Struthio camelus: one gene and its partners. Each later gene encodes a partner of the first gene's protein in a complex. Links are inferred from orthologs where the notes say so. Each region holds a gene or a part of one and is shown in the gene's direction. Other genes may lie near its edges.

Region 1 (7,827 bases):
CACTTAGATAATATGATGATTCTTGTCATTACTGATGTTTAAAGTTATTAATGGAATACTGCATGCTGTTCTGCTTTCCTATCTTAAAAAAATGCTATAACTATGATACAAGAAGGGTGAGAAGATTTATCAAGATATGGAATGAATTCTATTAAAGGAACAACAAATAGATTAGGATTCTTGAGCCTAACAAGAGTTGAAGAGTAGGAGATATGCCAGAGGTCTTAATCATAAGTGGCATGGAAAAGGTGAGCAGAGAATGATCATTTTACTACCTCTTCCAAGACAAAGCATGCACCAAAGGAAGAGTCAAAACAACAGAGATAATATTCACATGCTATGCAACTAATACGAAGAATTACTTGATATGGGATAATGTGACTTGATATGGGATAATTCAAAAAGCCAAGAGAAAAAAACAGAAGAGACGCGAAGCTCTTTAGCTCAGGAAGACCCAGGACAGTAGGTGGAAGCGAAGATAATATCCTGAGGAGATACTACTAGCTTGCCATGTCCTTATGCCCTTCTTTAGACGTCCACTCTTGATCACTGTTGGAGACGAGCTACTGACTTGATGGGTCTTTTATTTGACCCCAGCTGGCTGTTAAACTTGTGGAAAAGTACTTTTCAGGCTGACTTCAAATAATAGTTGAGAGTTTTATATGAGTATTTATTCTAAGACTATTTGGAAGTAACTTTTTTTTTTTTAATATATTATCTTCAGGATCTGCTGAAGACACGACTGTTGAAGTTACTGCCTCTAAAAGTGGGGGAAGTGTTGCAAATTGTGGAAAGAGAATAACCCACTTAATGCAATAGGATTCTTTCATTATGGAATAATCTCTGTGACCGTCATGGACTCTGTATAAAACGGACACACAGTCACGTATCTCTGCCAGATGTACCTATTTCAGTGTTGGACTGCATAGTTTTTATTGTATTTTGCAACATTTCAAAACATAAACTAAATCTTTTAAGAAGTGAGAACTAACAAGGAAACAAACCTGATTCATAGAAAAATCACTGCAACATTTAATATAGAAATACTTTTTAATATACCCAGGAATGTTTGGATGAAAAGCTCTTGCACTGTCTTACCAAGGTCTGGAGTTCAAATTCACTGTGAACTTTTATGATGCCAGTGCAATACTTCTATTTGTAAAGTGCTTTAAAAATATCTATGTAAAACTATTGAAGCAAAGTTACAAACGTAGCATAAATTGTTTATAGTGTAAATACACAATTTATTGTGACTCTTAATATATTTCGTCATCTTGGAATAACTTAGAATTTGAAATTTTGTAAGTAACAAGTAAAAATAGTGTTGTTGAGATACCGTTTTTTTTTTTCTTCATAGCAGAAAATGATGTAATATGATCGCTCTAAGAGGAGGCTTTTTAATCCATTGATGTTACAGGAATTATTTTTCTAGTGCTGAAACATTCAGAAATCTATAGATTAACAAATGCTTTGCTTTACAAAAATCTTACCAAATCTACATGCAAACGTAACTGAAATTAGAACTAGCACGTGGGAAAAGATTTATATTACAGCTAAAGACGCGAGAAATCAAACACAGGAAATTCCACTTGAACGTAAGAAAACACTTTGAGTGACTGAACAGTGGAGCAGGTTGCCCAGAGAGGTGGTGGAGTCTCCATCCTTGGAGGTATTCAAACCCGACTGGATGTAGTCCTGGGCAACCTGTTCTAGGTGACCCTGCTTGAGCGGGGGTTGGACCAGACAATCTCCAGGTGGCCCTTCCAGCCCCAATTAGTCTGTGATAATTGTGCCTAAAAATTCTGTGTAGGAGAATTTCCTAATGAGTTCCTCTGTTTCTGAACTAACGCTAAGAGTTTGAACTTACCATTAGCAAATATGGGTAGGTCTTCCACTTCTAATAGACAACTGTTTTTATGCCACACCTAACTGAATATAGAGGTGGATTTAAGGAAAACATTTAGTAGGAAAACAGTGGCTCTACTTCCTTGTGAACTCTTGAAATGTCTTCCGACTTTCTGTTCCAAATAATTTGTAACTTTCTCTTGTACCTTTCTATGCATAGTCAATTTTAAAATGTTTTCCAAATGCTTTCAATCTTTCAACAAGTTTAAATAGATGCTAGACTTGAAGGTCTGTAAAATTTCAATTTCTTCCTTAATAACTGTAGCTTTTATAAGGTATCTAAAGTTGTTTCCTTTTTCTTTTAGAGGAACTGCAATGTGACACCAATATGTTGTTACAATGTGCTGTTTAAATAATCTCCTTCCCTAAAAACCTATAGATCATTGTTTCAGGGCTGTTCACAAGAAACACGTTCATTTACTTGTTCTGAACAGAGGTAACTGCTTGTACTGATCCCCCATAGTTTTGATCTGTGAACTGAATTATGAGATGTAATATTTAGTAAGTGGAATGATGAGTAGCAGCGATAATTTAACCCAAAACTTTTGTGGGTAGCCGTTCTCCTACTTACTGTAGTGATTAATCCCGAATCCAGCATTGGATACCCAGTGATAGTTGTGTAGGATGGTAGATAGAATATTGCCTGTTGTTGCAACCCCACTCAGCAACTGTGAGGGATTCCGATGTTTGCATTTATGAGTAGTCTACTGTGCGTGTCTTAACAGTTAAATATAAGAGTTGACACCTCAGAAAAGAAAGACCCAAGTTAATCATAGAAAAACACTTAAATGTTACTAGTAGGATGTGTCTAAATAACGATAAGATACAACATACTTGCATGGGAGCAATGATAACTATTGTAAGCTATCATACTTTTATTTTTTTTGAAAATGTAAAATAGTTCCTGTTTAATGTGGTCTATTTTTTATTTCCTAAATAAGGAAGACTGCAATAGTAAATAGAAACCAGCAAGTCAAACAATGATTAACTGTTAAACATTAGCATGTATTTAACACTATTTGAGCCTCCCAGGATCCTTATCAGTTGTAGCTCAATGCAGAACGAAGTCCATTCAAAGAACTTGTATCTTGTTTATGGGAGGAAAAAAATTACTTGTTCATTGTTAGGATTGCTTGTACTTCTGTGAACTCTGAATTTTGCATATACTGTGAGAATTCTTTCTAGACTTAAAGGACTGTCCTTACTCTATGTTTAAAAACAGCCAAAATCCGAAAGAACCCAACTCTGGTTACAGAAGTTTGGTTGTACAGGAGTTTTTTTTATACCTGCTTTACGCCTTAAAGCTTAGCTGAAAAATGGCATCCTATATTCCACTTCCTTACATGATAACTAAAGGAAAAAAGCCAAACCCTGATCTTGTAACCATAAATGAGTGAATGTTTGTTAGAATCTTGTATGTGGGCTACATCTGAAGAGACTTTTAATGCAATATATGCTGTTTACTTTCCTTAAACAGAAACATCTTATGAAGGGACAAATTAGTAAAAGTTAATTTATTAGTAAATTCTGCAAAAATCTCTTCTGTTTGATTTTTGTTTGATGGGTGTATTTGGGGGGGAGGCGGGCATTTGGTGGGAGGGAGATATTTATTCCAGTAGCAGTTCGTGTCGAAAGCAATAAGCTGCAGAAGAGAACAAAGGTCAAATAATCTCATGTTGCTGTAGCTGTTTTACATGTATTGGAGCAGGAAGCATTCAGCTGGATTAAAAAAAAAGTTTTGAGCAAATTGAATGTTACTGAAGAACTAGATGGAAAATGCCTGCTTCCTATTCATATTTATCCTGGTTGCTCTGAAAGCTATTGGAGGCTTTCACGTATAATTCTTTTTGAATTATATGTGCTGCTACGACCATTAATAGTATCAGCTGGCGTCTATCAAAAACATGGCCTTTGAAATAGCAGCAGCTAATGATTTTCTCAACAGCAATTTTTATATATACATATTGTTTTGAGAGGAAAAGCAGTTGTTAGCATAGAGATAGAAAAGTCCATAGTTTATTTTATATCATTCTTCAAATGCTGTGCTAGCAGTGTGGTGCTTTAATATAGCCCTAGCTTACAGGAAGAGGATGAAAAAGCCCAGAAAGCTTCTCGAAACTCTCTGCCTGTCCCTTTGCTCTAACAAACGCTTAATTGCTTCCCAAGGTCAAAATTTTTTTTTTTTAACTGAATTTTTCAGCAATCTTTAATCTTGAGTAAAAGGGATCATTTGACAGTTTTTTTTTTCCCTTGTTCTAGGCCGTAGTAGCACAGCTTACGATAAAAAAATAAACTTGGAAAAGTCTGAATTTACTAGCTGGCTGTTGCAATCTTGGTATCGCCAGCATGGGATCTCGATGTGCTTTGGGATGTGGGGACTTGCGACGGATCTGGCCAGTTCTCAGTGCAGCAGCTCGCAGGTCATCTCGTATTTCATGTCTTCAGGTATACACATAAACAAAAAGTCACTTGGCCCCAAATCAGAGATGCAGTTCTGAATGACGGACGGTGACATTGACATGACCTTGGAATTCTCTTTCCCTAGGCAATTCTCAAGTCTAACACTGAGCTTGAGTGTTTACTCGCACTGCTCTTTAATACCTTCCAGCTGTGAGTATTAAATGTCTACGACGGTGTTTACTTACCCGCAGGTATAGAAGGGAAAACCTAAGAAAACGGGGGCAGTAGCGACAGCGTTTTGCCCGGCGGGTATCTCCCCTGTCCGCTCGCCCCGGCCCTGCCGCCCCGCCCCCTCAGTCCGCCCGCACCAGCGATGCCCAGGCCAGAGCAGCAGCGGCCCCTCCAGCCGTGCCGCTCTATGGTGCGAGGGGCGGAGCAGCCGCCCTTTCCGGGGAGGCGAGCGCCCTTTCCGCCCGGGGCCGGCATGGGGCGGCGGCAGCGGCTGGCGGCGTGCGGGGGCCGCGGCGGCCGGCGCCGCCTCCGCCGTTAGCGGGGCGCGAGGCGAGGCGGCGCCGAGGGGCGGCGGCGGCGGGGGCGACGCACGAGGAGGTGCTGCCCCGTCTCCTTCGCGACCCGGGGGGTGGGGGCCGTTGGGACGCGGCCGTTGGTGCCGGGCGCTCGTGCGGCGTCGCCTCTCCTCAGGCGCGGGCCTGTGACCATGCTGGGAGGGGACGAGTTCATCAGCTCCCCGCCGAGGAAGACGGTGCGGTTCGGGGGCACCCTGACGGATATCCTGCTGAAGTACGAGAAGGTGATTATCGCTCTCTTTTCCCCGTCGTGGATCGCGGACGTGCTTGCGCAGCTCTTCGCCGCCTTTCCGTCGCGTGTGTTGCCATCCTGTTAGTTTGCGGCACTTAATTTGGACATGAAGACTTAGTTTGTCTTACACGAGAGGGTGTCTGGTGGCGTAGGAAAAAGAAGGTAGCTGAGTGCTTTGGGCATATGCCAGACTGCGTTGTTCTCTAAGTGAAACAAATTCCCCGACGAGTCTGTCTGAGTGACGCCTTTGATGGCTGCAAAGTCTGACTGATACCAGAGGACGCCAAGTGATCGCAACTGCCTCTATAGGGAGAGGAGCAGAAACGACCTGATAGCTAAAGCTGCCCTTCAGGGAGAGCGTTCTGTTACTTCTGCTTTACTTGAGCTTTCTCAGTTATTTGTGTCGCTGCTAAACAATGTCAGCTTGTTTAGATGTGCTGATGAAGCTTAGGTTTGTATTTTCTGGCACAAGTCCATAAACATCATTTGCTCTTTTTTTTTTTTTCTCTCTCCCCCTACTAGGGTGAAACCAGTGATTTTGAGTTGTTAAAGCATCAACTGTCAGATCCAGACATAAAGGTAAGCGTTTTTGTAGTGAAGGGTCTGATGACCTAAAGCTTAGTTACAGATGTGAGTGTAATCATCGGGCAAGTGATTCTGGTGTTTAAAGCAGTTACTGTTTTATTATTATTAATGGGCTTATTGCAAGTAGATCAGTTTAGAAAAGTGCCTGTCACTTGCCTAAATACTTTCCTTTAAACATTTAGCAGCATTTAACAGCTCTTTGCTTTGTGGGAACTATCAAAATTGAAAGTCCAAACAAAAAGCCAGCAACTGTCTGTTTACACAGAGACATGCATCTTATATGCATGACCTTGATAGGTATTCAAGCGACAAAAATGTCAAAAGCGACATTTACTATTTTTGTGCTCTAGAGTGGGAAACTTTTTGCTTTGTGCCAAGGGCCTGTCGCTCTATGTATGGATTACTTTCGTAGATCAGTCTGTTGTCTTTCCTTCTGACTTTTACAGCCTCTAAGTTACATTAATGTTTACTTCCTTCAGTTCTTATTAAATGTTTAATTAATTAGGCAGTGAGATGCATGTACATTTAGCGTTTGTACCCAGAAGTATTGTTTTAAGAGCTGCTCATTACAGCCATAAGTACCCATCCTGTCTGCCATCTTTGTTTCTTTTTTTTATTAAACCACTAAACTATAAGAAGCATGTTGCAGCAAGTATAATGCCAAATTGAGTTTCTCCTCTTTTTAAAGAGGATGTTGTGTAAAATTAATTGTTTTTAGCAGACTTTTCGGAGACTACAGGCAAAATCAATGTAATATTTCTCTGTAGATCTGCTGCTGTTCCACTATCGCTCTTATTTCAAGACTTGGATGGCCTTTCTGCTTAAACTAAGAGCAACAAGAAAAGAAAAGAGAATTAACATTCTCTGAGCTCCATCTCTTTTAAATATATTCTGTTTAAGTCCGGTTTGCATCCCTTGCCCAGACTTTAAGTTAAATATTTCAGGCAGGCTGTTGCTTTGAAAGATGCTATGCATTTATTCTTGCGTTGAAGAACTTTTATTAGTAGGGAGACAAACTTAGTCTGAGAAATTCTTGTCACATTAACGTGAAAATAATTCCTATTTACAGTCTTAATCTTTGTTTTGTCATTTTAAGGTTATTTTCTAGTAATAGGTCATATTATTTATTGAAATTGTTACTTGTTTTTTTCTGTTTATTTTAAGGATGCCCAGATCATTAATTGGCTACATGAATTCCGAGCTTCTGTTGCATACTTGACCAAAGATCTTGAACAACTGGTCAACATTTTGCTGGTAAATATCTGTTTGCTATATGCAAAGATTAAGAGTTTAGTACTTAAAATATCTCTGTGTTTGACATCTTCATCTTTACTTGCTTTCAGAAGCTGCCGTGGTTGAGAAGAAGCCGAGATGTAGTTGAAGAATATTTAGGTTTTCTTGGCAATCTAGTGTCAGCACAAACTGTCCATCTTAGGCCATGCCTCCGCATGATTGTATCGCAGTTTATTCCCCGTAAGTTACTTTTTTTAATTCTTCTTTACTGGCTTATCAAAATGTCTCTTTCCTAGATTAATTCTATTAGAAAACTAATCCATGCTAGAATTAATCCAATTATCATTTTTTTTCTGTTGATTCCTTTTTTCACTTCAATGACTGAATCGGAACACAGTCCATTTTATGTACCTTAGATTTCAGAACACACATTCTAATGGCTAATACAGTCAGATACCATTTCTGAAAATGTCTTGGAGAGGGGTGAACTGTATTATGTTGTTATAATTGAAAAAACAAATGCTGAGATGAAGATCATGTCAATGTTTTAGAGAACCTTCTGGCTCTATGAATAAAACAGTTGATTGCAATAAGCTGAATAAAAAGTCAATTATAGAAAGTCATGGGGATAATTTTGATGCTTTAGTTCCAATGAAGTCTGTCATCCAGTGTACTTTGATTTGGCATCAGAACTGTTACCTATACGATTTGTATGGTTTTACAATAATAATCTCACTTTTTGCTAGCTCGGATAACTATCAGAGAGGATGATGTGGACATTTCAGATTCTGATGATGATGAAGAAAGTGAGTATAAAGGAAGCATGGGTTGTGTATACTATTGTACTACCTTTAGTAAACAAGTGTAGCGTGCATGTTGGTTCTT
Region 2 (7,984 bases), on another chromosome or scaffold:
TAAATTACACTGTACTAACTCTGTGATTTCCCTTTACCTGAGCAGAAATAAAACCTTGGAGTTAAAAACCGATCATGGCTTAGGTTTTATTCCTTTCTGCACACACGCTGTCCCAGGGACAGGGTGTGCTGCCTGGCTTTGGGGAGTGGTTGACTAAAGAGTATTACTAAAAAGCAGATAGAACTAAAAAAAAAAAAAAAAACACAGCGAGCCTGCTCACAGCAAGAGCAGAAAGCCCTGAGTTGAAATCCCTTCTCCCTCCTCAGCACAGCTGTGTTCCTGAGTGCCTGCCTATTTTAACTGCTGCTGATGCACACACTCACTCAGAACTACAGTAATATTAGAAGTTCATGTTTGCATGAGGCCACACTGCATCTTCCTCCCTGCCACCTGCCAGCATAGCCGTTCCCAGAGCGATGCAGACAGAAGTAGGTCATAGATGTGGACAGTGACACTCGTGTTAGCGTCTCACCGTCAATAGAAACTGCCGGGCTTTGGGTTGTATGGAAAAAAGGAGTGACGTTTTTCTCTGTGAATTGTTGTGCTCTGCAGCACTGCATAGCGAAAAGGAGGCTCTGCTTTGTCATATTTTTAAAGGCTTTTCCTCTATGTTTTCTTCTCCTTAATATTGTTGAGCAAGACTGCCCCTTGCAGAAGGGATCTGATGCGTGCGTAGGATTTTGCAACAGCTTTCTTCTGTTACTGGCTGTGCATAAATTATTCCTGCCTTCTGGCTTTAGGCAGCAGGTGCTACTGCCCCCTCTTCAAGGGGATCCTTGAGAGACGGACAGACACAGACCAGTCCTTAAGACTCAGATGATAAGGGAAGAAGACCTGGGACTAAATTGTTCCGGTGTTTTTTCTGGGCCTAGTCATGGCCATCAGATTTGTTCCCAATGGGAAAGTCTTTTGTTGCGATCTCTCTCATTTCCTTGCTTCTCTTCTTGTCAATGATCTCCATCTCCCGCAGTTTCTGCAAAGCGCAAAGAAAGGCCTGAGTGGTGAGCATGCCAGGAGCTCCTACTTTTTTTTGCCAAAGCCAAGAACAAAGGTTCTTCTTCCCTAGACTAAGTTACATGCAGACATGGAAAGAAAAGCTGAAAACCCCTCTCCCCCAGTCCCCTAAATTCACACCTGCCCCGTGCCATGAAAAAGAACGCTCATTTCTCTGCCTCTTCCCAGTCTTTCCCATGCACCACGCTTGGTTATCAGAGGGCTCAGATTTCTAACACCACGGATTCCCTCTACATGCTGTAGCACCAATGCCCCCAGGGCCCTCACGTACCTGTGAGATTTCAGTGAGGACAATCCCTCGATACTTCTTGCCCTGTCCTAAAGCTTCCATATCTGCCAGGAACTCCTTCCTCTCCTGAACTTCATTCACCACTAAGCCCAAGGAGAAGAGAAAATAACGTGCAAACAGAATGCAGCCAAAAGGCAAGCAAGCACTTTTCTGTTTAGCTCTGAACCCCCAACTTCCTAGCTCCACTGGAACGGAGGTCCCACCAGGGGAAGGATGATATCTACTCTAACAATTATCTTCACCATGTCACCAAAACATCTCAGCAGTTTTTTACGTAACAGGAGTACTTCCCCCACGCCCCCAGCCCCTTTCTCTACCTTGCCAGAACAGTAACTTTCTAGTTTTTTATGTGCAGGCAACACTGTTGCTTGCAGGCATTTTATCCAGTCTGTGGATGGAGATAGAAATCGTCTTAAATCTGTTGAGGTTCACTAGTCCACATGCAGCACCAAGTAACCACACACAACCATATTTGGTTGCAGGACCAGCTCATGCACAGAAGCACTTCAGCTGCTTTTTTGCAGCACAGACCCGCAGCCAGTTCCTGAAACAACACCTGACACGGCACAGTACACGAGTACTTTAGATGTGTCAAGGACAACAGTGAGTTTGAGACAAGTTTTATAGGATCCAAAGCACGCGTGGAGCCAACCACGCTGGTTTCCGTGCATCAGGGACCAAACCACCCCTTGCAAACACATTATCTGCGTGTTGTCATTCTTTCTTCTGCCCTGGTTAAGGAAGAGCTAGCTGGGGTGCATGCATGCATTGCAGTTTCAGGCACACAGAGTTATAGAAGGCAGGGTTTTGCCATCCCAGAAGACTCTGTAGGCCAAAGTACATCACTACCTAAAATTCTTCTCTACATTTAAGCTTTGCTAGTGTAACTGCACTGATTTGGGAGCAAAAGAAAATGCAGCCCAAGCCACACTGAGGCTGGCAAAAGTCCTAGTCTACATGGAGTTAGACCGGCTGGAAGAAGGATCCACAGCAGCTGGGCTTTCTGCCGAGGTTACCCTTGCAAACCGCTAAGGTAGTCCTGTGCCAACAGAGTTGATTTTGTATGGGCAATCCAGAGAGCGTGACTCTGTCAGCAAACCTTTGCAGTATAAATTCTGCTAGGAAAGCTGGATCAGTGTCACAGCAAAAAGTCCTTTCTCTTGGAAACTGGGCTTTGTGCCTCCTTCCGCAGTGGGCTTCAGATTGCTGGCTACATGGCCTGCCACTCCAGCTCTTAGAGGGAGCTGAGTTCCCAGGCCTCCCCATGTGCCTCACTCTAGCATCCTTTACATACGTTCTTCAAAGCGGTCAAGCTCAGGTGTCTCCTCTTCCTTCGCCTGAACCAGCGTCGGCTTCACTTTGTGCTCCACCACATCCTTCCCTGTCGCCAAGATATTTTGGAGTCTTTGCTTCTCCCTTTCCAAATCTCCTGTGAATTGCAAAGAAAAGAAAACTATTAGCAGCCTGTCTCCTCAGGGAAGGAGCCTGGCCGCATTGCTTCTCTCCAAATGATGGCAGAGGAAGCATTATGTTAATGACAGCCCATCTCCAGACTGAACTGCGCAGCCCTACACAGATGTACTTGCAGTGAAGAGGCAACCAAACTGACATCAAAGGTCTGATTCACATTTATAAACTGGAAAATATATATAGTATTCCCTTCTTAGGCAAGGATCACATGAGTTCCTATTACCTATCATCTTCCTAACCAAGCAGGCGTTGGCAACGAGCGTTTACAGATGTTCCCTCAGAGCTCTCTTTTTATGCATCTTTGAAGACAGAAAGCGTGAGGATGAAGAGCAACTAAGAAACCCCCCTAAGGTTACTGAGATGGCAAACAGCGCATGGATGTAAGGGACTGGGCAGCAGGATTTATTTATTAGTGACATTTGCTGACTTACGCCTTGCCTGTGGTTTGAATTTCTCTCTGGTATAGGCATCTCCTGCCTGGCAGATCTTGGCAGGTCGAAGATGTGGTTTAGCTGGAAGCCTGCCTGGCAGACAAAGCTTTGGGGGAGAGAAGGCAGACTCTGCAGGCTGTGGCTCTTTGCTGGATGTGGGGTTGCACTGGAGGGGCAGGGTATCTCCTCCTGGAGGTCAAAGGAAAAATACTGGTAAGTCGGACACAGAGGAGCCTATGGCTTGATGGCCTTGGACCAGCAGAAGGTCTGCCTAGTGATCCACCGGAGTACAGTGAGCAAAGATCCCAAGTACCACAGATGTCTTACCCAGTTATTGGTTCATTCGGACATGAGCGAGACTGGTTCAAGTCCCACCATTACGTTTTCTTCGCTGGACTGACCCTTGGGGACACCTCGCCCAGCACAATGTCAGCAGCAGCTCTACTGCTATTTTAAAGGCAAAAGTACAACAATGAAAGGAAGAGGCAGGCCAAGGTTGGACGGTTTTCTCTATGAGAACAGTTTCCACTACAACATATGAAAACAGAGATCAGGAGAGTTAGGCTGGACCTGATGCTGACAAGAACATGACTTCCTCCCAAGTACTGCCCATTCATTTGTTTCTTGCCCATCCACCTAGTCTGCAGGCCAACGTTCTTCGTCTCATGGTGAGCAACACAAACTCAGCAGCACAGGGTGGAGAGCAAGATGGATGTTACTCACGTTTCACACAGTCCATCAGGTGCCGCCTCTGGAAACTTGTAAGCTTGGACTCCTCCATCATTGCTGAAAAACATGGCGCATCTGTGAAGACTACAGCCTGAGAAGGCTCCACTCTTCACCTTTGGCAGCTAGGACAGGTGAAACGGCTTGGTAAATCAGCCCTGGGGAAAATCTCTACTTACAAATCAAAATCCAAAGCGGGGAAGATCAAATTATTTTGCAATTTCAGAAACATCACACCAGGACGCTCATATATAGATACGTTCACTGCCAGGTCTAGCATCTTGCTCTGTATGTTTCTCTCTCAGCTCTCCCTCGAGGGGATGAATTAGGGGGAGTGTTTTATTTCAGGAAAGACTTTCTTTTTTAAACTGACCACACAGTTGCTATATAGAAGCAGTAATAACCGGATCCAAACGCTCTGGTTCTTCACTTCCTTCAGGCCCCCCCCCCCCGCCGCCGTTACCTTTCAGCAGCTCCTGGGTCTCCCGGCTGTATTGAGCTGTCCCAGGAGGGTGCCAGAAGTGAGCTCCTTTGGCCGCAGCTGGCGCTGACCTCCTCCTCTCCCGGGACGCCATCGTGAAGCCCTGAGAACAGCAGCGAGACAAGGCCACCGAACGTCCCCAACGGCATCGCCTCGCCGCCGGGCCCGGCCGTTCGGGGTCCCGTCGCGCAGCCTCTGCACCCCCGGGGACTCCGGCAGCGTCCCAGGGAGCATGGTGACAAGTGACGTCACAGGCGCTGCCCTTCCAGGGACTGCGTGGTGACAGGTGACGTCACAGGCGCTGCCCGCGAGGCATCCGTACCCCGCCGGGCCCTCTCACCTTCCCTCCGAGGCGCGACCCAGCCTGACGTCACAGCGCGGCACTCTAACGCCACAAGGGGAAGAAGCCCAGCGAGCCAATTAAAAACAAAAAAACAAAAAACAATAGCAACAACCACACCCACAAAAAACCCTCTTCCCGTCTCCATGGCGACGCGCGGGCGGGAAGGAGGGGACGGGCAGGGCGGGGGGGGGGAGCGCGGCGGTTCGTCGCCACGGCAACGGGGCCGCCGGTTCACTTCCGGTAACGTCACGGCGGGCCGCCGGAAGTGGCTGCTACTTCCTGGCAGGAGGCGGAGGAGGCGGCATGTCTGACAACGAGGATAAGTGAGCGCGGGGCCGGTGGCGCTGGGTCTGGGGGCGGAGCGGGGCTGCGGGGGCCGGGCCGGGCGGCACAGGGGGCCCCGTCGGGGGGGGGGGGAAGAGAGAGGAGGAGGCGATGGCGGCCCAGGGCGCTGTGCGACGTCCGTGTCCACCCGCAGCTTTGATGGCGACGACTTCGACGATGTGGAGGAGGACGAGGGGCTGGAGGACCTGGAAAACGCCGAGGAGGTGAGTGCAGGCGCGGCGGCAGCCGCTCCCCGGGGCTGCCGGCCGCGCAGCCAGCTTGGAGCTGCTGGGCTTCTTCGCAGGTCTTCTGGCAGTGCTCTGTGGAAAACCCTTGGTTAGCCTGTCTTTCAGGCCCTAAAGGCGTCATGTGTTTTCCCAAAGCCTGGCTGTGCTGCTCTTTGGATGCAGTAACGCTGCTGTGCTGGTCTGTTTTTCCCAGGAAGGGCAGGAGAATGTAGAAATCCTCCCGTCTGGAGAGCGTCAGCAGGCAAACCAGAAGCGGATTACCACCCCCTACATGACCAAGTATGAGCGAGCCCGAGTCCTGGGCACTCGTGCCCTCCAGATAGCGTAAGTGTTTTGCTCTGTGTCCCAGCTGTTACCGTGGCTGGCCTGCGGGCTTCTAGGGTCTCCCATCTGTATTTAAGTTGCTTTTCTCTTTCCTGGAAGTATCCTGGAGCTGTTGAAGTTCCTCATGTGATCTCTGAGCTAGTGGACCACCATCTGTGCCGACACTGAAAAACAAAGCCTTTGAGTGCTTAGTCCCATGTGAAATCTCTGTATCTTTTCCTAGCTAAGGTTATGGTACTTGTGTCTAGAAAGGGAGGTGTTCAGCAGTTGTAGTGCACCTTCCGATGTGATAGGTAAAAGAACAGGGATGTGATAGGCTGATCCTGATTTCTGCCTTTCATAAGATGAGCCAGTCTGTGCTGGAAAGCTCGGAATCTGCTAGCAAAAGCCAAGATTTGAGGGAGTAAAGTTCCAGAATGTCTTCAGTTGATCTCATAGGGCTGTAGGGATTAAGAGTAATGATCTCAACTTCTTTTTAGACTGCAGTTGTATTGCAGCTATATGTTTCTACAGCGTTTGGATCAATGGGACCTCATTTGTAATTGTACTTAAATCTTATTTTAAGTGCTGTTGAAGCTGGCTGCTCTCGACATCTTCCATTTACCTTTCTGGATCTATTTGAATAACGCATGTCAGAAGACTGCCCCGCAAGGAAAGAGGTTGTTAGGCTGTGGTAAAGTTTGTCTGAAAAGGCATCTCTGAGTCTTATCCTAGTTATGTGCACTCTCTCAAAATAATGCTTCTCCTTCATATCACTTAGAAGCTCGTAGGTGGTGATCAGATCTTTCCTTAGTCATCACTTTGCCAGGCTGTTCTTTGCACAGTCAACACTCTGTGAGGCTGTTTTGTGCACATTCCTTCAACTGGTAGAAGGCCAGAAAAATGGGAGAGATGAGATGGGTCTGTGCCAGACCTTTAATCCATATGCTCTAGTGCCTGATTGGGCTTCGCTACTTACTCTGCCTTCAACACCGAATCTAGGCCAGCAGCAGCCCCCAGTGGCCTTATCCACACATAACGTGAGCTTCCTTTGCTGCTGTTGCTTAATGGGACAGATAATAGTCAGCCATGTTGGCTGTGCTGTTAAACTTCCTGCGAAGTGCTTTATTTTTTTCCTGGAGATAGTGTGTCATAAAACCAGCCTCTTACTTTACCCCAGGTAAAGCCTGGAAAATAAGATCAGGTCAGGAAGTAAGAAATGTGGTGGAACTGTAGATGGCATGCCCATTTTATAGTGTTTCCACTCTCCTTATTGGATTAATTTTAGAACTGCTCTTTCCTTCCTCACATTTATGTACAGTCCAGGGGGACTCCAGGAGGATGTGGTTTTGACCAGCTGTGAAGCCCCAGCTGCAGTTGAGGGACGGGTCAAGAAGAACATTCAAGTAAAAGCTCAGTCCATAGCCACTTGCATCTAGTGAAAGCAGTCCTGCCACCACAAGATTGGAGTGGGGGACATTTCTTCCCAAAGTGGATAAAAGTGCAAACCTTGGATTTGCCAAGGTGCTGTTCCTCCCTCCTACTTTGCTGAACTTTGGGTGAAAGACATAATAGATAACGTGCTTAGTTATCCCTCTTCCATCTCTGCGTATTCTCTATTTGATTGTTGTTATTTCCACTCAGGATGTGTGCCCCTGTGATGGTGGAGTTGGAAGGAGAGACAGACCCCTTGCTGATTGCCATGAAAGAACTCAAGTAAGTCTCAGATTTTGACAGTGGGTGTCAAGCAGTCCTACTCATCCTAGCATGTAGCGGCTTATCCTATGCAGGTTGTGCACTCACTCTGTAACAGTGAGTATTACAGTCGCTGTCCCCTCTCCCCTGTTGGGACCGCTCCCCAGCTGCAGGTAGCTTGGGTATTGCTGTGTCCCATGCTAGGAGCTCTTGCAAAGTACTGATTATTAGCAGTACTTTGACTTCTTTTACTTGGAAGTCCAAGTGGTTTTTATTCCCTTGAGAACCCACGTCTCCATCTTTCTGGAATCAGTTTAATTCCCTGAAAGGAGCTGATGCAAAGCAGCCTTCCTAACAAACCTATGTTCGAGTGCTGGCAGAAATAAAATAAAGGTCAGGTTTGTGATGTGGAGGCCATGTTAAGAATGTTTTTCTCCTGCACCCTTCCATGCTTGGCTTACTGTGATTGCAAAAGACTCATCTCTGCTTCCTGCCTCCAGGTTAGGGAATCTTATCTGGTTACCAGAATGTGTTGCATAGAGATGAAATACAGTCATAGCCTTTCTGAGAGGCAGCTTCTGGATGACTACTTACAGGCCCACCTTTCCACAGCAAAGCTCCCTGCTGGTCCACAGTTCACCAAGATGGTCAGTGACCTAC
Region 3 (7,710 bases), on another chromosome or scaffold:
TCTCGGAAAGCTTCTTTGGAGACACTGCAGTGAATATAGGCTCTTCTCTCAGCTTCCACCTTAATACATTTGAGACTCAAAAGTAAAACCTTTCAGCCCAACCGATTTTTATTCCTTTTGATCCAGCCAATTTTATTCTCCGTCGTTCAACAGATATTGTGCTTTTCTACCCTGAACGGAATCTGCTGCTCTGTCCCAGCTGGGGGGAAGATGTATGAGGTTTTGTAGAGCAAGCGAGAGACTGCTTGTCTATAGATCTGCCACACAGCTGGGAAGGGCAGGCATTTTGGGGGGAAGGAGGTTAAATTCCTTTAGATCCCTGAATTTCTGAACTAACATCTGTTTTGAGTGTAACCTAAATTCCTGGAATATTCGGTTTACCCAAATTTTTAGCCTAAACCCAAAGAGCGCGTCTCTCCTAAGCCAGGGCTCTTTGCAGAGCACAGTGGCATTCATGACAGCAGCTGGCTTTGCTAGGTGGCGTGTGGCCTGTGCTGTGTCCCAAACTTTCTGAACAGAGGCGCAAAGCTTAACAATTAGGTCTCGCTGTTAGGAGGCTGCAGCAGTGTCTGCAAAGAACTGAGCGCTCGCAGGCTCCCCATTAAAGCTTGGGTTGCGCATCGGTGGTATTGAGTTTGGAGTTTCTTTACGCACGTTGCACGTGATGTGGGGATGTACCTTAGGTTACGTGTTTTTAATCATGGTTAAGGGCAGATGACAGATAAGCACCTGTGCAAGCAACACAGAACTACTGCCCGATGTGGGTTGTTTGAGATTCGCTCCAACACTGAACAGGAAAGCATCATGGAAAATTGAAGCTTTGGGGATTTTAATTGCAGCAGGAGAGCAGGCTGTGCTGCCGAGGTCAGGGCCATGTTCTCTTGGCTCTTGCACGGAAAGATGGTTGTCAATGAAATAAAACAGACCTTGTTCGTGTTACCCAAAGCAAAACAAACAAGAAGAGATCATGGAGGTTACAAGCTTCTGGCTGCCTGCGTTTAATGGGAAGTGAATCAAGCAGTGTGATTTCTGCCTCCCACAAACGATCCCGGCGCTTTGACATACTCACCTTTGGTCGTGGCTGAGATTTCAGAGGTCTTCCTGCCAGCACAGCGCTTGGTAAGCAAGTGATCCTGCCGGCAGGACTGAAGTGCCCACCCCTCCTCGGAGTGATGGATTTTGGTCATGCTGTACCTGGACAGACATTCATTGCAGCATGCTGTGAACAGAGTGGTTAGCAAAGCCCAAAAGAAGCGTTGCAGAGAGGAAGCGTCCCGAAAGGCCAGGCAAGCCCGTCGTCAACGCTCTGAAGCGCCGCACGGAGCGGAGTCTGCATGGCGTTTGGCAGACGCAAGGTGCGTTGGAGCTGGAAAGCAGTTCGGTTGCTGCACGCTGGGAAGCGACGAGGAGCGATAGCCGCGTGTGAACAGGGTGTCTGCTTTGTTTCTCCAGGCTGCGTGCGAAGGACGCCTGGACTCCACTTGCTGGTGGGTGGTTTTGTTTCCAGCAATGCCCTGAGCACCATGTCCAGTTTCTGGCTTTACTGGACCTCTTGTGTTTTCATATGAGCCAGAAAGCGGTGGGGGAATGGTGGGTCATAAGCTGGGAGAAGGAGGTATGAGGGAAGGGCTGTTTGGGTGTCCTAATCTCGTGATAGCACACAGGTGTGAAAATTGCCCTGCAGACCAGCCCGAAGCATAGTGTTAATAGTCCCAGGTAAAATGTAGGCTGTAACAGGTGTTTCATGTGACTCGCAGAGCTGCCAGCTCAACAGGTCTCCACTGACATTTTCACATAGTAGCTACCGTGAGCTTAAAAATGCACCTTTTTTTCCCCCAGCAAAGGCAAGATCTAATAGCAATAGCCTTGGTCCAGAACGTGCCTGAGCAGACACTGCACTCTCACAAGCTCTACACCAGACCAGACCAGAGCTCCTCAGGTATGAAGTGAGAAAACTTTACCCGTCATAAGGAAATGAAAAATCCCTGGGGTCCTAGACCCCTCTTTACTTTCCCTTCACCCTGAATTCAGAAACCAAAACGCTCCCTTCCTGAGCGTATGTAAGATTAGATCCCTGCCGATGTAGTGGGATAAGGCTAGGAAAGCAGCCCGGATGCAGGGAAGAGAAGCATCTTTTATCAGCACAGCTGATACAGCCAGGAAGAGCAGTGACTCAGGAACCTCTGCATAACTCCAAGGCCTTTCCCTCCGCCCTTTTTCGCCTCAGGTTGCATTGAGATACGTCCCCAACTGGCTATTTCTGCTGCTCAGCTAAAAGCAGGGCTTCAACTCAATGGTAAAACAATGGCCCCAGGTGATGCAGTTACTCATAACCTGCCTTTTCAGCTGGATTTTGGGGAGATAGTGATTCAGGGACTCTTTAATCATTGGTTTGTTTGCTGAATAAGCAACAGCCTCTAGAGGAAAACACTGGGTACCATGTGTGAGCACTCACCATCTCCCCTCAAAGTGCTTCCCCCAAGCAAAGCCCAGGAGGTAAACGCTAAAGGACGGCCAGTGCGGTACCTAGGGTTTTGCCCAATTTATTAGCCCCATTTATTATTTGTTAGGTGGAGCAAAGAATGAGATGGATACGGCTGAGGCCTGAGCGTTGCGACCGTGGGGGCACCTTGTAAGTGATGCTCGCACACTTTTATTTTTTAGGAAAAAAAATGCAAAAATAAATGTTTTCTAGCTTGATTCAGCTTAAAGGTCAATAGACAAGGTCTTGCTCTCTTTCCTAAGCCTTGACAGAGGATGGTGCTGGGTTGCAGGAGGAGCCCGCCCATAGTCTTAGCAGTTGTATCCCTTCAGTCCAGCCATAAAGGATTTAGACCCAGATGCTCCGGTTGTGTTTTGCAGCAGGGTCTGGTCCAGCCGGAGCCTGGGCTTCACTTAACTCCCATATGGCTTCTCTCATACCAGATTAATTGTGACTGCGGAGCGACAGCTCTCGGGCTCCCACTGAAATCCCGTGGCCGGCCGCAGCCTGTGGAAAACCCTGGGGCTGTCCGACAGGCTCGAAAGCACCTTCGTCCGAGCGGTCCGGCTCCCGTTCCCTGCTGTAGTCCAAGCCCTTGGGGACTGCTTGCCTGTCTGTGGTCCAAGCCCTTGGGGACTGCTTGCCTGTCTGTTTTCCAAGTGCCGCTCTCCGCTAGGAGAGCGATGCCGTGCTGTAAGTAGGTTAATGCTTGTGTGTCATTATCGGTGTCAGCCACAATAGTCCACAGAAATCCATGAAAGGCTTTGAAAGGACCGGAGGCCGTGGCTGGGGCAGACATACAGAGCTCCCGGGCTCCAGTTTTTGTTTCCAAAGCACTTGTCGCACGAGCGAGTGTGTACACGGCCGGCGGGACCCCGAGCGGCGCGTGGTTCTCCAGCGTTTGTATTCAGATCTGTCCTAAACCACCATTAAAAAGAGGAAATCTCAGAGGCTGTGGCGTTCCCGTGGGACAGCGGGTCCCGGGGCTCGCGGCACTGGCACAGCAGCTGGGAAACGCTCCTGCCTGCCCCCGCCATGAGCGTTTCTGCCTCTCGCTCCGGGGAGGGGGTGATTTGGAGGTTTTGTGGCTGAGTTTGCAGCACTGGGTGTGCAGTGCTGTGCCGCCTCTGCGGCCGGGGGGGGCCAGAGCTTCCCCGCCTCCGCTGCCAGGTCGCCCGCGGCAGGGGGGACACGGCCTGGGGGGTACGGCCCTGGAGGGACGTGGTTCCGGGGGACGCGGCCCCGGGGGTGGCATGGCTGGAGGACACAGCCTTGGGGGGGACATGGCTGGATAGGACACGGCTCGGGGGGGGACACAGCCCTGGGGGGATGTGGCTGGGGGGGACACAGCCCTGGGGGGACAGAAATGGGGGGACAGAGCTGCATAGGACACAGCTCTGGGAGGACAGAAATGGGGGCACCACAGCCCTGGGGGGACAGAGATGGGGGGGACGCAGCTGGGGGGGGACATGGCCCTGGGGGGACATGGCTGGAGGGGACACGGCTCTGGGGGGACAGAAATGGGGGGGACACTGCTGGAGGGGGGACAGAGATGGAGGGACACAGCTGGGGGGGACAGAGTTGGGGGGGACACGGCTCTGGGGGGATAGAAATGGAGGGGACATGGCTGGGGGGGACAGAAATGGGGGGGACACGGCTGGGGGGGACAGAAATGGGGGGGACACAGCCCTGGGGGGACAGGAATGGGGGAACACAGCCCTGGGGGGACAGGAATGGGGGGGACACGGCTGGGGGGGACAGAAATGGGGGGACACAGCCCTGGGGGGACAGGAATGGAGGGGACACGGCTGGGGGGGGACAGAAATGGGGGGACACAGCCCTGGGGGGACAGGAATGGGGGGACACAGCCCTGGGGGGACAGGAATGGAGGGGACACGGCTGGGGGGGGACAGAAATGGGGGGACACAGCCCTGGGGGGACAGGAATGGGGGGGACACGGCTGGGGGGGGACAGGAATGGGGGGGACACGGCTCTGGGTCCCAGGCAGAGCGCACGTGGCCGTGGGTCAGGCCCTGGGGCGCATGCGCGGCGGGGTGGGGAGGGGGGAGGGCGCACACGTGGGGTGCGCGCGCGCGCGTCCGCCGGGGGGCGGGGCGGATGCGGCCCCGCCCCTCAGCCCCGCCCCCGGCCGCATCCCAGCAGGCAGCGCGGCGGCGGCGGGCAGCATGGCGGCGGGCGCGGGGGCGGTGGGCATGGCGGCGGGCGGCGGGGGGCACCGGCTGCGCCGCCGGCCGCGCTACCGGCCGCGCGGCGAGGCCCGGCGCGACTTGCCCGGCGCCCACCTCGACTCCTTCAACTACGCCATCAGCGAGGGCGTCTACCGCGCCGTGCAGGTGCGGGCGGCCGCCGTCGGGGGGCGGCGGGGGGCGACTGAGGGAGACCGTCGGGGGGCCGGCGGGGGGGACCGGCGGGGGGCGACCGCGGGAGACCGTTGGGGGCCGTCGGGGGGCGGATCATTGGGGGCCGTCGGGGGGCGACTGCGGGAGACCGTCGGGGGGCGGCGGGGGGGGGACCATTGGGGGCCGTCGGGGGGCGACTGCGGGAGACCGTTGGGGGCCGTCGGGGGGCGGATCATTGGAGGCCGTCGGGGGGTGACTGCGGGAGACCGTCGGGGGGCGGCGGGGGGGACCGCGGGAGACCGTTGGGGGCCGTCGGGGGGGGGGACCGTTGGGGGCCGGCGGGGGGCGACTGCGGGAGAGCATTGGGGGCCGGTAGGGGGGGGGACCGTTGGGGGGCGACTGCGGGAGACCACTGGGGGCCGGCGGGGGGTGACTGCGGGAGACCATTGGGGGCCGGTGGGGGGGACCACTGGGGGCCGTCGGGGGGCGACTGCGGGAGACCATTGGGGGCCGTCAGGGGGGACCACTGGGGGCGGTTAGGGGGCGGCGCTGGGGGTGGTTGCGGGGGGCCGTTGGAGGGCAGCTGGGGGGGCCGTCGGGGAGCGGTTGCAGGAGGCTGTTGGGGGCTGTCGGGGGCGATGGCTGGTGGGGGGAGACCACTGGGGGCTGGCGGGGGGTGGCTGGGGGGGACAAGCGAGGGCCGAGGTGGGACGGGCGTAGAGCAGCGAGGGCCCGGGGGTTGGCTTTTGGGGGTGGCTGAGGGCGAGGTGAGTCAGGGGAGCGGGGGTGTGGGGCCGGGGCCAGCGGGTGGCTTGGCGGGACGCAGAGGTCGCAGCGGGGGCGCCCTGTTCCCCGGGCAGCCCCCGCTCTGGGTGCTGCCCCCGACCTACGTCTGGGGAGCCTGACCGCCCTCGCGTGTCTGTTTCAGGACCTCCAGCCGCTGGAGTTTGCTCTCAAAAGCGATCGCATCTCGCTGGCTATTGTGGGAGTTTCCATCTCTCCCCCAATGGTGCCAAAAGGGACCATCTGTCAGGATATGAAGGTTTACCCGGCGGAGTGCAGGGGCCTCCGAAGCACGTATCGGGGGAAAATAATGGTAAGTGTTGAGCTGTAAGCATTGGGGCTCGCAGGGAGTACGCTGTTCTTCTCCAGGGCCTGATATATATTACATCATTACGTACGGTAGCATGACATCACTAGTTCCGCAAGAGCAAAGCTAACGGAAGCTTGTTTCTCCACAAATTTGCGTGTACTTTGGCTAAAGATCACTTTCCAATTTCACCTGCTTTGCAGGTACTTGGCAGAACTGTGTCCTGTATGGAGTCTCGAGTTCTGATGAAGTATGAGCCCACTGCAAAAGCTTCTTCTCTTTGAGCCCTTAAAACATCTCTTCCCCTCTGTGCTCCTTTTTCGTAGGACCTTAATGATCTTCCCTTTCCTGCTGTCAAATTTGGGTAGAAATCAGCTAGCCAGCTCAGAAGATCTTGGAAGGAGACCTGTTTAACCTCAGAGAAAGGGATAATCCAAATCTTGTTTCTACAGGAATCCAGGTTTCAAAATCAGTATTGCTCTGGTGTAAAAGCCCAGCTTTATAAATCCCTTTTGTTCATATCACGTGTTCATCGGTTTTCCAGATTGCTCTGAAATTTGAGTAGAGAAACATCCCTGGCAAATATTTTCCCTTGCGTTGTGAAAGCATCAGAGGACCATTGCTGTTTGCCACTAAAATTGTGTAGCTTTGTCCAAGGTGTAAATTTGCATGGGTCTCTTGCAAGAGAACGATTGTGTGCAGTTTCTGCTTATTTTTTTTTCCTCCTTTCTCTGAATCGTTGCCATTTATTATGGTAAAAGCCACTCTAAGTGCGGTATCTTGTCTGAACATAAAAGTGGGGCAGTCGCACAGATTCTTTGCAGACGTTTTCCCAGTGGCTGCTGCTGTTGTTTTTTCATACGTTCATTGTTTCTTTCTTTCTTTCCTAAGATTGTTCGCTTTTTCAATCTGTGCAAATGTTTGACGGTCCCAGCCCAACAATTTGGCTGTGCCTTATGTGAGAAAGTATTGCCTTGTGCTTGGACTGGTTGTTCAGTCTCTCCCACTCCCTGCTCTTGCGCAGCGGGAATCGGTGTATAATCATTCCCTGTTTGCTTTCACTATGCTGCTGTTAATTGCATGTCCTTCCATCGTATCCCCCTTGAGGTTCTCGCTTTTCCAAGCTAAACAGTCTTAGTCTTTGTGGCAGCTCCTCGCGCAGAAGCCATTGGAAGCCATATCTTTGGTCATCCTTTAGGCTTGAGACCAGAACTGTGCTGAGGATTTGATGTAGGGTGCACCATGGATTTACAGAGGCACAGTAACGTTTCTGTTCCCTTTCCTAGTAGTTCCTGAGACTTGATTTACTCTCTTGAGTTGGTGTTTTCATATTGTAATGCCAAGATTTCTTTTCTGAGTGGCAGTGGCTCCCTTAGAGCTCGTCGTTCTACACATAAAATTAAGATTGTTTTTTTCCACTGTGCTTTTTGTCACCTCGTTTCTTACAGTCAAGGGAGCCTTCTGCAAAGCCTCTGTCAGATCTTGTTATTGTAAATAAATGGTTTTCCTAAGCAAACTGTCTTTTCCTTCTCACTTTTCAAATCACTTATGAACAGGTCAAATGGTCCAGTCTTAGGAAAGATCTCTGTAGTCTCTACTGTTGATCTCCTTCCATTGAGCATTTATGGTTTTCTTCCACTTTTTCTTTAACCACGTATTGACTTCTGAGGTCTCCCTTCCTATCCTGTGGCTTCTTTGTTTATTTAGGCTGCTTTGTTGCAGTAGCTGAAACAGTCTACTTAGGCTTTCAGACTTGTTCACCTGACTAGCAGTTCTAG
Region 4 (7,663 bases), on another chromosome or scaffold:
CGTGGCCATGCCAGGCTGCTCACCACGGTGGTCCCAGGCTGCTTGTCGTGGCCGTCCCAGGCTGCTCACCACGGTGGTCCCAGGCTGCTTGCCGCGGCTCCCACCTGGAGCTCGCGTCGTGTGCTCGCCCCCGACCCCGCCAAGCAGATGGGTCCGACAGTGAAGCCTGGCTCCTGCCAGCATTCAGGATCCCTGTGGGGATCCTTTGTCCCTGCTGGGGCCCTTTGCGGGTGCTGGCCATGTCCCCAAGGTGCCCTCTGGGTGCCAGCTCACCCAGGCAGAAGCAGGGGCTGCGGGGACGGTTTTGGGAACAGATGGCCCAAAGCCTCTTCAGAGACACTGTGACTAGCTAAATAACAGGGCTCGGACCCCGCTGGCCGGTGAGCCACCTGTGTCACCCAGGGCCAGCAGCAGGGCGAACAGATACCAGGATGCGCTGTCCCAGGCAGAGGCACTGGGCTGCACTGGTCCCAGGCAGGGACACTGGGAGGCACTGGTCCCAGGCAGGGGCACTGGGCAGCACTGGTCCCAGGCAGGGGCACCAGGAGGCACTGGTCCCAGGCAGGGGCACCAGGAGGCACTGGTCCCAGGCAGGGGCACTGGGCAGCACTGGTCCCAGGCGGGGGCACCAGGAGGCACTGGTCCCAGGCGGGGGCACGGGGCAGCACTGGTCCCAGGTGGGGGCACTGGGAGGCACTGGTCCCAGGCGGGGGCACTGGGCAGCACTGGTCCCAGGCGGGGGCACCGGGAGGCACTGGTCCCAGGTGGGGGCACGGGGCAGCACTGGTCCCAGGTGGGGGCACTGGGAGGCACTGGTCCCAGGCAGGGACACTGGGATGCACTGGTCCCAGGCAGGGGCACTGGGCAGCACTGGTCCCAAGTGGGGGCACTGGGAGGCACTGGTCCCAGGCAGAGGCACTGGGTAGCACTGGTCCCAGGCGGGGGCACTGGGCAGCACTGGTCCCAGGTGAGGGCACTGGGCAGCACTGGTCCCAGGCAGGGACACTGGGATGCACTGGTCCCAAGTGGGGGCACTGGGAGGCACTGGTCCCAGGCAGAGGCACTGGGATGCACTGGTCCCAGGTGGGGGCACTGGGAGGCACTGGTCCCAGGCAGGGACACTGGGAGGCACTGTTCCCAAGTGGGGGCACTGGGAGGCACTGGTCCCAGGTGGAGGCACTGGGATGCACTGGTCCTAGGTGGGGGCACTGGGAGGCACTGGTCCTAGGTGGGGACACTGGGATGCACTGGTCCCAGGCGGGGGCACTGGGCAGCACTGGTCCCAGGCAGGGACACTGGGAGGCACTGGTCCCAAGTGGGGACACTGCGAGGCACTGGTCCTGCTGTCAGAGAACAGCCCATCACCCTCATTGGGGGGGGTCCCTGCACCCCTCGCCCTGGCCGAGGGGGTCCCCGCACCAGGTCCCCCGCGGGCCTGCCAGCCCGGCTGCTGGGCCAGCTGCCCCTTGCCCGGGGCGGTCCGGCAGAGCGGCGCCGCGCCGCCGGTCACCTTGGGAGCCGCCAAATATAGAGGCGCCGGGGCAGCGGGGAGGGCAGCCAAGGCCCAGGGCCGCCGCGGGCAGGAGCGGGGCCGCGGGCGCGTAGGGGCCTCGCCGCCGCTCGGCCCTTTTCGGGGCCTTCTCCTGCCTCCCCGGCCGCGAGCACCCGCGTTGCAGCAGCGCCCGCTGCCCGCGCGCCGGGCTGCTGCCCCGGGGTCGCTCGCCCCGCCGGGGTGGCCGTGGGGTCCCCCCCCCGCCGTCGCAGCGGGGCCCCCCGGGCCGTGCCTCCCGCCGGCCACGCTCCACCTCCGCCCGCCCCGAGCGGCCGGGGACGCATGTGCAGAGCTCCGGCTGCCAAGGCCGCGGCGGGCGGCGGGGGGGGGAGCGGTGGCGCGGCGGGGGCCGAGGCCGAGGCGGGCATCGGCGGGGGGGAGGCGGTGGTGGCGGCCCTGGCGGCGGGTTTCGGGGTGGCCGAGAGGGTCACGGCGCAGCCTGGATGTGGAGATGGCGATGGCAGCCCCCCCACCCCCCGCCCTGGTGCAGACCGCTCCGGCATCAAATTAACCCTGATTATACATAATCTCGTTAGCGATGGCAAGCAGGGCGGCACAGGACAGCTGCCTGCACCCCAGCTCTAGATATAGGGCTGCGGGGGGGGGGGGTCCGAGCGTTTCCTTGGGGAGGACATTGGGGTCCCCGAGGGCTCTCCAGGGCTAAGCGGGACCCATCGCTACACCCAGCTTTTCCCAGACCGGCTCTAAACCCGACGCGGCCGTTCCCGCTTTTTGCAAACGGCCGGAGACAGATGGAGGTAGGTGGCCAGCGTTTTCCAGCCCGGGGCCGGCAAATCCGCTGGCCGGCGTCCCTCGCCTGGGCCGGCCGTGCTGGACACCGTCAGCAGCTCTGCGCCTCCCAAACCGCCTTTTTCCCCACCTGGGTGTGCTGCCGCTAGCAATTTTTCACGCCGACTGGTGCAACCCCTCTGCAGCATCGGAGCTGCCCGCGGAGCTGCCCGGTGCGGCGCGGGGCCGCGGATGCGCACCCGCGCCGGCACTGAGCCCGTGGGCCTGCATCACGCGGCAGGGGCTCGCACCCGGCTCCGGCCGAGCGCCCGCTGACGGCAGACGGAGCCGTGGCCCAACATCCGCAGCATCGGCGTGAAACGCTCTGAAAGCCGGGAGCCTCCCAAAAACGGGAGAAGCAGCAAAGAGCCTGCAGGCCTGCACGCACCTTCGCATGCAATCTTTGTGCTTTTGGCAGCAAGAATACCCACGTGTACAAATAACAGCGATTAAAAACTCCCTTTGCAAGCAGAAAGTCCTCTGGCGCGGAGGAGCGCGCAGCAGAGCAAGGAGGGGAGCGTTTTGAGCAGGTGTTTGTGCGGCGTCTCCGTTTCTGCCAACCTGCTGCAGGTTTTTACGGCCTGTTCTCACGCCTCACGTTCCCTTTTTGGTAGCAAAAAAATATAACCGCGTTTCAGGCCGTCCGTGACTGCTGATCACTGCTAGCTGTGCAGCAGCTAGAGCTAGCTGGGAGTTTCCCATCCAAAATGGCTTTTTGGTTAGGAGGCATCGTCGGCTTGCAGCGGCGTGGGAGCTTTAAAAATAAAACAAAATAAAAAGGGGAAACGGGCATGTTGTTGAGGTGAGACATCTGCTAGGCTTTCTGAAAGCTGCTTTCCACTCAAATGGGTCTTTGAGAGATGAAAAAAATAATTAAAGATTAAAAATGCCAGCGTTCGAATGTTTGGCCTGATTGTCTGTGATTTCTTTTTTTTTTTTTTTGGTAATTTTCCCCCTCTTGCAAAACAGTGACATTTCACCTAATTTAGAACAGGAAAACCAGCTCAGCAAAGCGGCCCTTTCCACGCAGGATAAATATATACGTATTTTTTTTTTTTTTAATCTTTGGCCAAAGGGATTAGCTCCGCGGAGCCGCCTGGCACGCCTCGGCGGCCGTGCCGGCTGGAGAGCAGGCCTGCGCGGCAGCGCGGCAGCCGGCGGAGGGGCCGGCCGGCAGCTTGGCCGGCTGCTCTTCCGCCTCCGACTTTCGCCTGCAAGACAAGGCCCGAATAAGCTGCTTGCGTCAGCCTGGGAGGGGGCCAACTGCACCTGCACTTGGGGGCTGTTTTTCCCCTTTCCTTGTAGAGAGCGGTGAAAAACCCGCCGGATTTTGGCTGTATTTCCCAGGCGAGCGGACGGAGAGGCGCCTGCTGGCATTTCCGCGGCGGTTGCAGCGGCGGGGCTCTACCTCCCTATCCCACGGGGTCCTGGGCAGGGGGGGTTCCCCACCAGCTCCCGACCCCCCGAGCCCTTCGGCAGGTGCCGGCGGGAGCTGCCGGCGCGCAGGACGGCCGGGAACGGCGGTGGCACGCCAGCGGCCCGGCGCGGCCGGGAAGGCGCCGAGCGCCGGGGTGGCCGGGCACGGCCGGGAAGGCGCCGAGCGCCGGGGTGGCCGGTGAGGCGCAGACAAACCGGGGCAGCCGGTAGTGTGCGAGCAGCCTGGGATGGCCCGTAATTTGCAGGCAGCTTGGGATGGCCGGTAATTTGCAGGCAGCTGCCCGGCCGGGATTGGCTGCGGGGAATGACGCCCAGCACAACAAAGGTGGAGTTGGAGAAATTGCATTAAAAAAAATTAAGAGCGAGAGAGAAGGAGAAAGGGAGAGGGGAGCGGAGGGAGGGAAGGAGGGGAGGAAACTGCCCCTCGCCCGCCCCGCCGGGGAAATCCCCGAGCGTGGCCGTGTCCCGGGCGGCGGCGGCCGGGCGCCCGGGGCCGGGAGCGCGGCCACAACGCCGGGCGCTGCCCGCCCTCGCTGCCCGGCGCCGGGGGTGGCCCAGCGGCAACCCGCGGGGTCGGAGGGGACCCACCGGGGCGGGAGGCGGCTCGGCTTCCCCCACCCCCCGCGCTTCCCACCACCACCACCACCACCACCCCCCCTTTTTTTTTTTTTTTTTTTTTTTATGCAAACGCCAGGAGAGGATTGTTGCACATGTAAGGAGATTTTTTTTTTTCCTCCCCCCCCCTTCCCTCCTCTCTCCTTCCTCCTCCTCCTCCTCCTCTTTTCTTCTCGCTACAGTGTTGCAAAAGCAAAGAGCAATAAAAAACACAGTGAGCGGCGGTGGGAGCGCGGGGCGGCGGCGGCCGGCGGGCGCCGCTGGGGAGCGGCGAGGCTGGCGGCGGACCCCGGCGCGCAGAGCCCGGCTGATTGGAAGAGAAACGCAGCGCCATGGAGGCGGGGGAAGCGCGATCTCTCTGCGGGGACTGGAGCGCGTCCACGCCCGGGGCCAGCGCTGCAGAGCTGGCCGCCGTTCAACCGGCGCTCCCCGCCCCGGCCCCGCCGAGCCCCGGCCCCGCCGAGCCGCGGCCCCAGCCGCGGGCCCGCAGGTACGTGCGTGCGCCGGGGGAGCGGAGCGGAGCCGCGCCGCGCCGCGCCGTGCCGTGCCGCGCCGCCCGGGCTCGCCATTCGCCGCCGCGCCGCTCCGCCGGCGGGGCTGGAGGAGGCGCTTTGTTCCTCCCCGGGCTCCCGCTGCCGCCGCGCACCGGGCTCTCGGTAAGGCGCCGCCGCTCCGATCGCAGCGAAGGTGGAGGGGGGGGGAAGATTTTTGTGGCGGTGTCGGTGGAGGAGAGAGGGGGGAGGAGGTTGATTTAGATTTGTTAATTTTTTTTTTTTTCAAAAAAATTTTTTTTTTCCGCTCTCCGGGGCGGCCGCGCAGGCCCCGCGGGCAGGAAGCCGCCGCCGCCGTCGGGGCTCGCTCGCTCCCCGCCGCGCCGCGCCGGGCCGGGCCGGCGGGGGGCACCGCGCTGGGGCTCGGCGCGGGGGGAGCGCTCGGCTCGGCGGCCTCGGTGCCCCCCCCTCCTCCTTCCCTTCCCTTCCTTCCCTCTCCTCCTCCTCGCTCCCTCCCTCCTTCCCGCTCGCCCTCCCTCCCTCCCCGGCTGCTGCAGCTGGATTTCGGGGGCAGGCTTCCAGCGCTGGGCGGTTGTTTTTCCCCAGCCCGGGTGAGTCCCGCGCCGCGGCGGGGAGCTCGGCGCCGCCCGGCCGCGCTCCGGAGGGTGCGTGCCCGGGCTCGTCCGCTTCCCCCCCCCCACCTCCGCTTTATTCCCCCGCTTTCTTTTCTTTTTTTTTTTCCCCCTTCTTCCCCTCTTTTTTTTTTTTTTTTTGTCTTTTTTTCCCCCCTTCTTTCTTCCTTTCTTCCCCCGGACCGAGAGCGGGGCTCCAGCCCCCCGCTGGGTGGGTGGGTGTTTCTGGGCTCCGCCGTGCGAGGAGGGGTCGGGGGGAGAGGAGGAGGAGGAGGGGGCGGCGGTGGTGGTGGTGGTGGAGGGGGGGGGTGGTGGGTAGGAGCCGCTCCCCGGGGGTCGGTGCGGGGAGGTCGCGCTGCCCTCGCCCGGCTCGCTGCAGCTGCCCGGCCGCCCCCAGCCGGGCATCCCCGCCCCCCCTTCCCCCTCCTCCTCCTCCTTCTTCTTCCCCCAGCGGCTCCGGCGGGGCTGGGGCTGCGGCGGCTCGGCGAGCTTCTCTCTCTTCCCCCCCCCCACCCCACCACCACCACCACCTCCCGCCTCCCCCTGCAGCCCGGAGCCTCGGGAGGTGGGTTTGTCTCGGCTTTATAACCGCGCCGGCTGCACAGCGCCCAGGGCGGCGGGCTGCGGCGGAGCCGGCGCGGCGCGGCGCGCCCCGGCGCGGAGCGGCGCGGAACGGCGGGCGGAGGCGGGCGCAGCCCGGCCATTGTGTGCCGCGGCGGAGAGCGGCCGCGCCGAGCCGAGCCCAGCCGAGCCCGGTAACCGCGGCGGGTGGAGGGAGGAGGAGGAGGAGGAGGAGGAGGGGGGGGAACCGCAGCAGCAGCAGAGAAGGGAGGGCAGAGCCGCGCCGCATTGCCCGGGCCCCAGCGGGCTGCAGCGCCCGGCGGCGGCGGAGGGGGCCGCGGAGCGGCGGCCGCATGCAGCGCGGCCGGGGGCGGGAGCGGAGCGCAGGGGAAGGAAGGGCAGGGCCGGCGGAGCGGAGCGGAGCGGGGAAGGGAAGAGCCAGCGGAGCAGCGCGGAGCAGGGCGGCGCGGCCGGGGGAAGCGGAGCCGCGGGGCGCCCGGAGCCGGGGCCGCTCCATTGTCTGGGCGGGCGGCGGGCGGGGGAGGCGGCGGCGGCGGCGGCGCGCGCTGGCGCCCGGGCGGCGGCGGCGGCGGGAGCCGGCGGCGCGGCGCGGCCGGGGGCGGGCGGAGGGGCCGCGGCCGCGGCGGGCAGGGAGGCGCCGCCGGGGCCGCCCGCGCGCGCGGGTCCCACCCGGTTCCTGCTGCCTGGCGGAGGAGGAGACTCGGCGCTGGCCGGCGGCGCAGGGCATGTGCGGCCTCCCCGCCTCCGCCCGCCCGCCGGCCCGGCCCCTTCCTCCCCCCCCCCCTCCTCCTCCTCCTCCTCCTCCTCCCCCCCCCAAACACACACTCCTTCCGCGGAGGAAGGGGGGGGGGGTTGGTTCCCGGTGCGCCCCCCCCCCCCCCCCCCGCGCCCGCGGTTCCCGGTGCGCGCGCACCGCGCATCGCCCCCCTGCCCCGCCCCGCCGGGATCCCGCCCCGCGGTCCGCCCCCCCCCCCCCCGCCGCCGCCGCTGGGGCCGGGCCTCTGCCCGGGGGGGGGGGTGACCCCCTCCAGCCCCCCCCCACTGCCGCCGGGGCCGGGCTTCTGCCCGGGGGGGGGGTGACCCCCTCCAGCCCCCCCCGCCGCCGCCGCCGCCGCTGGGGCCGGGCTTCTGCCCGGGGGGGGGGTGACCCCCTCCAGCCCCCCCCCCCCCCGCCGCCGCCGCTGGGGCCGGGCCTCTGCCCGGGGGGGGGGTGACCCCCTCCAGCCCCCCCCCCCACCGCTGCCGCTGGGGCCGGGCTTCTGCCCGGGGGGGGGTGACCCCCTCCAGCCCCCCCCCCCCCCCCACTGCCGCCGGGGCCGGGCTTCTGCCCGGGGGGGGGGTGACCCCCTCCAGCCCCCCCCCCTCCGGGGGTGATCCTCCCTCTCTTTCCCCCCCCCTCGGGGATGGTCCATCACTCCCCCTTAGGGCCTGCCCCCCCCCACCCCCAAAACTGCCCGCCAGCTCGGGTTCCCCCCCCCCCCCCAAGGCCTCGGGCCTGCGCTGCTGGGTGATCCCTGCCCGGTGCTCCATGGATTTCCCCCCGCCCCCCCCCCCCCCAAGAATGA

Evidence for each region.
Region 2: RRN3 (region 1) and POLR2F share a complex: the UniProt entries of both Homo sapiens proteins name them as parts of the pol I pre-initiation complex. The link is inferred for Struthio camelus from reciprocal best matches to the Homo sapiens genes RRN3 and POLR2F.
Region 3: RRN3 (region 1) and POLR1B share a complex: the UniProt entries of both Homo sapiens proteins name them as parts of the pol I pre-initiation complex. The link is inferred for Struthio camelus from reciprocal best matches to the Homo sapiens genes RRN3 and POLR1B.
Region 4: RRN3 (region 1) and UBTF share a complex: the UniProt entries of both Homo sapiens proteins name them as parts of the pol I pre-initiation complex. The link is inferred for Struthio camelus from reciprocal best matches to the Homo sapiens genes RRN3 and UBTF.

The regions. Positions count from the first base shown.
Region 1 is NC_090956.1:11,723,186-11,731,012, reverse strand, and holds the start of RRN3 (RNA polymerase I-specific transcription initiation factor RRN3), read left to right. Parts: upstream 1-4,819; 5' UTR 4,820-5,023; coding exon 5,024-5,116; intron 5,117-5,646; coding exon 5,647-5,703; intron 5,704-6,873; coding exon 6,874-6,963; intron 6,964-7,052; coding exon 7,053-7,182; intron 7,183-7,688; coding exon 7,689-7,748; intron 7,749-7,827. Other genes in the region: transmembrane protein 238-like, read left to right, coding at 725-734. UniProt on the Homo sapiens protein: Required for efficient transcription initiation by RNA polymerase I (Pol I). Required for the formation of the competent pre-initiation complex (PIC).
Region 2 is NC_090942.1:58,570,733-58,578,716, reverse strand, and holds the start of POLR2F (DNA-directed RNA polymerases I, II, and III subunit RPABC2), read left to right. Parts: upstream 1-4,982; 5' UTR 4,983-5,057; coding exon 5,058-5,077; intron 5,078-5,232; coding exon 5,233-5,302; intron 5,303-5,519; coding exon 5,520-5,650; intron 5,651-7,273; coding exon 7,274-7,345; intron 7,346-7,824; exon of another isoform or gene 7,825-7,936; coding exon of another isoform or gene 7,937-7,979; exon of another isoform or gene 7,980-7,984. Other genes in the region: C1H22orf23 (UPF0193 protein EVG1), read right to left, coding at 869-973, 1,286-1,386, 2,598-2,732, 3,205-3,393, 3,928-3,990, 4,394-4,505. UniProt on the Homo sapiens protein: DNA-dependent RNA polymerase catalyzes the transcription of DNA into RNA using the four ribonucleoside triphosphates as substrates.
Region 3 is NC_090944.1:147,740,609-147,748,318, forward strand, and holds the start of POLR1B (DNA-directed RNA polymerase I subunit RPA2), read left to right. Parts: upstream 1-4,705; 5' UTR 4,706-4,836; intron 4,837-5,770; 5' UTR 5,771-5,848; coding exon 5,849-5,938; intron 5,939-7,710. UniProt on the Homo sapiens protein: Catalytic core component of RNA polymerase I (Pol I), a DNA-dependent RNA polymerase which synthesizes ribosomal RNA precursors using the four ribonucleoside triphosphates as substrates.
Region 4 is NC_090966.1:4,609,045-4,616,707, forward strand, and holds the start of UBTF (nucleolar transcription factor 1), read left to right. Parts: upstream 1-4,654; 5' UTR 4,655-4,883; intron 4,884-4,949; exon of another isoform or gene 4,950-5,049; intron 5,050-5,278; exon of another isoform or gene 5,279-5,495; intron 5,496-5,970; exon of another isoform or gene 5,971-6,081; intron 6,082-6,175; exon of another isoform or gene 6,176-6,271; intron 6,272-7,663. UniProt on the Homo sapiens protein: Recognizes the ribosomal RNA gene promoter and activates transcription mediated by RNA polymerase I (Pol I) through cooperative interactions with the transcription factor SL1/TIF-IB complex.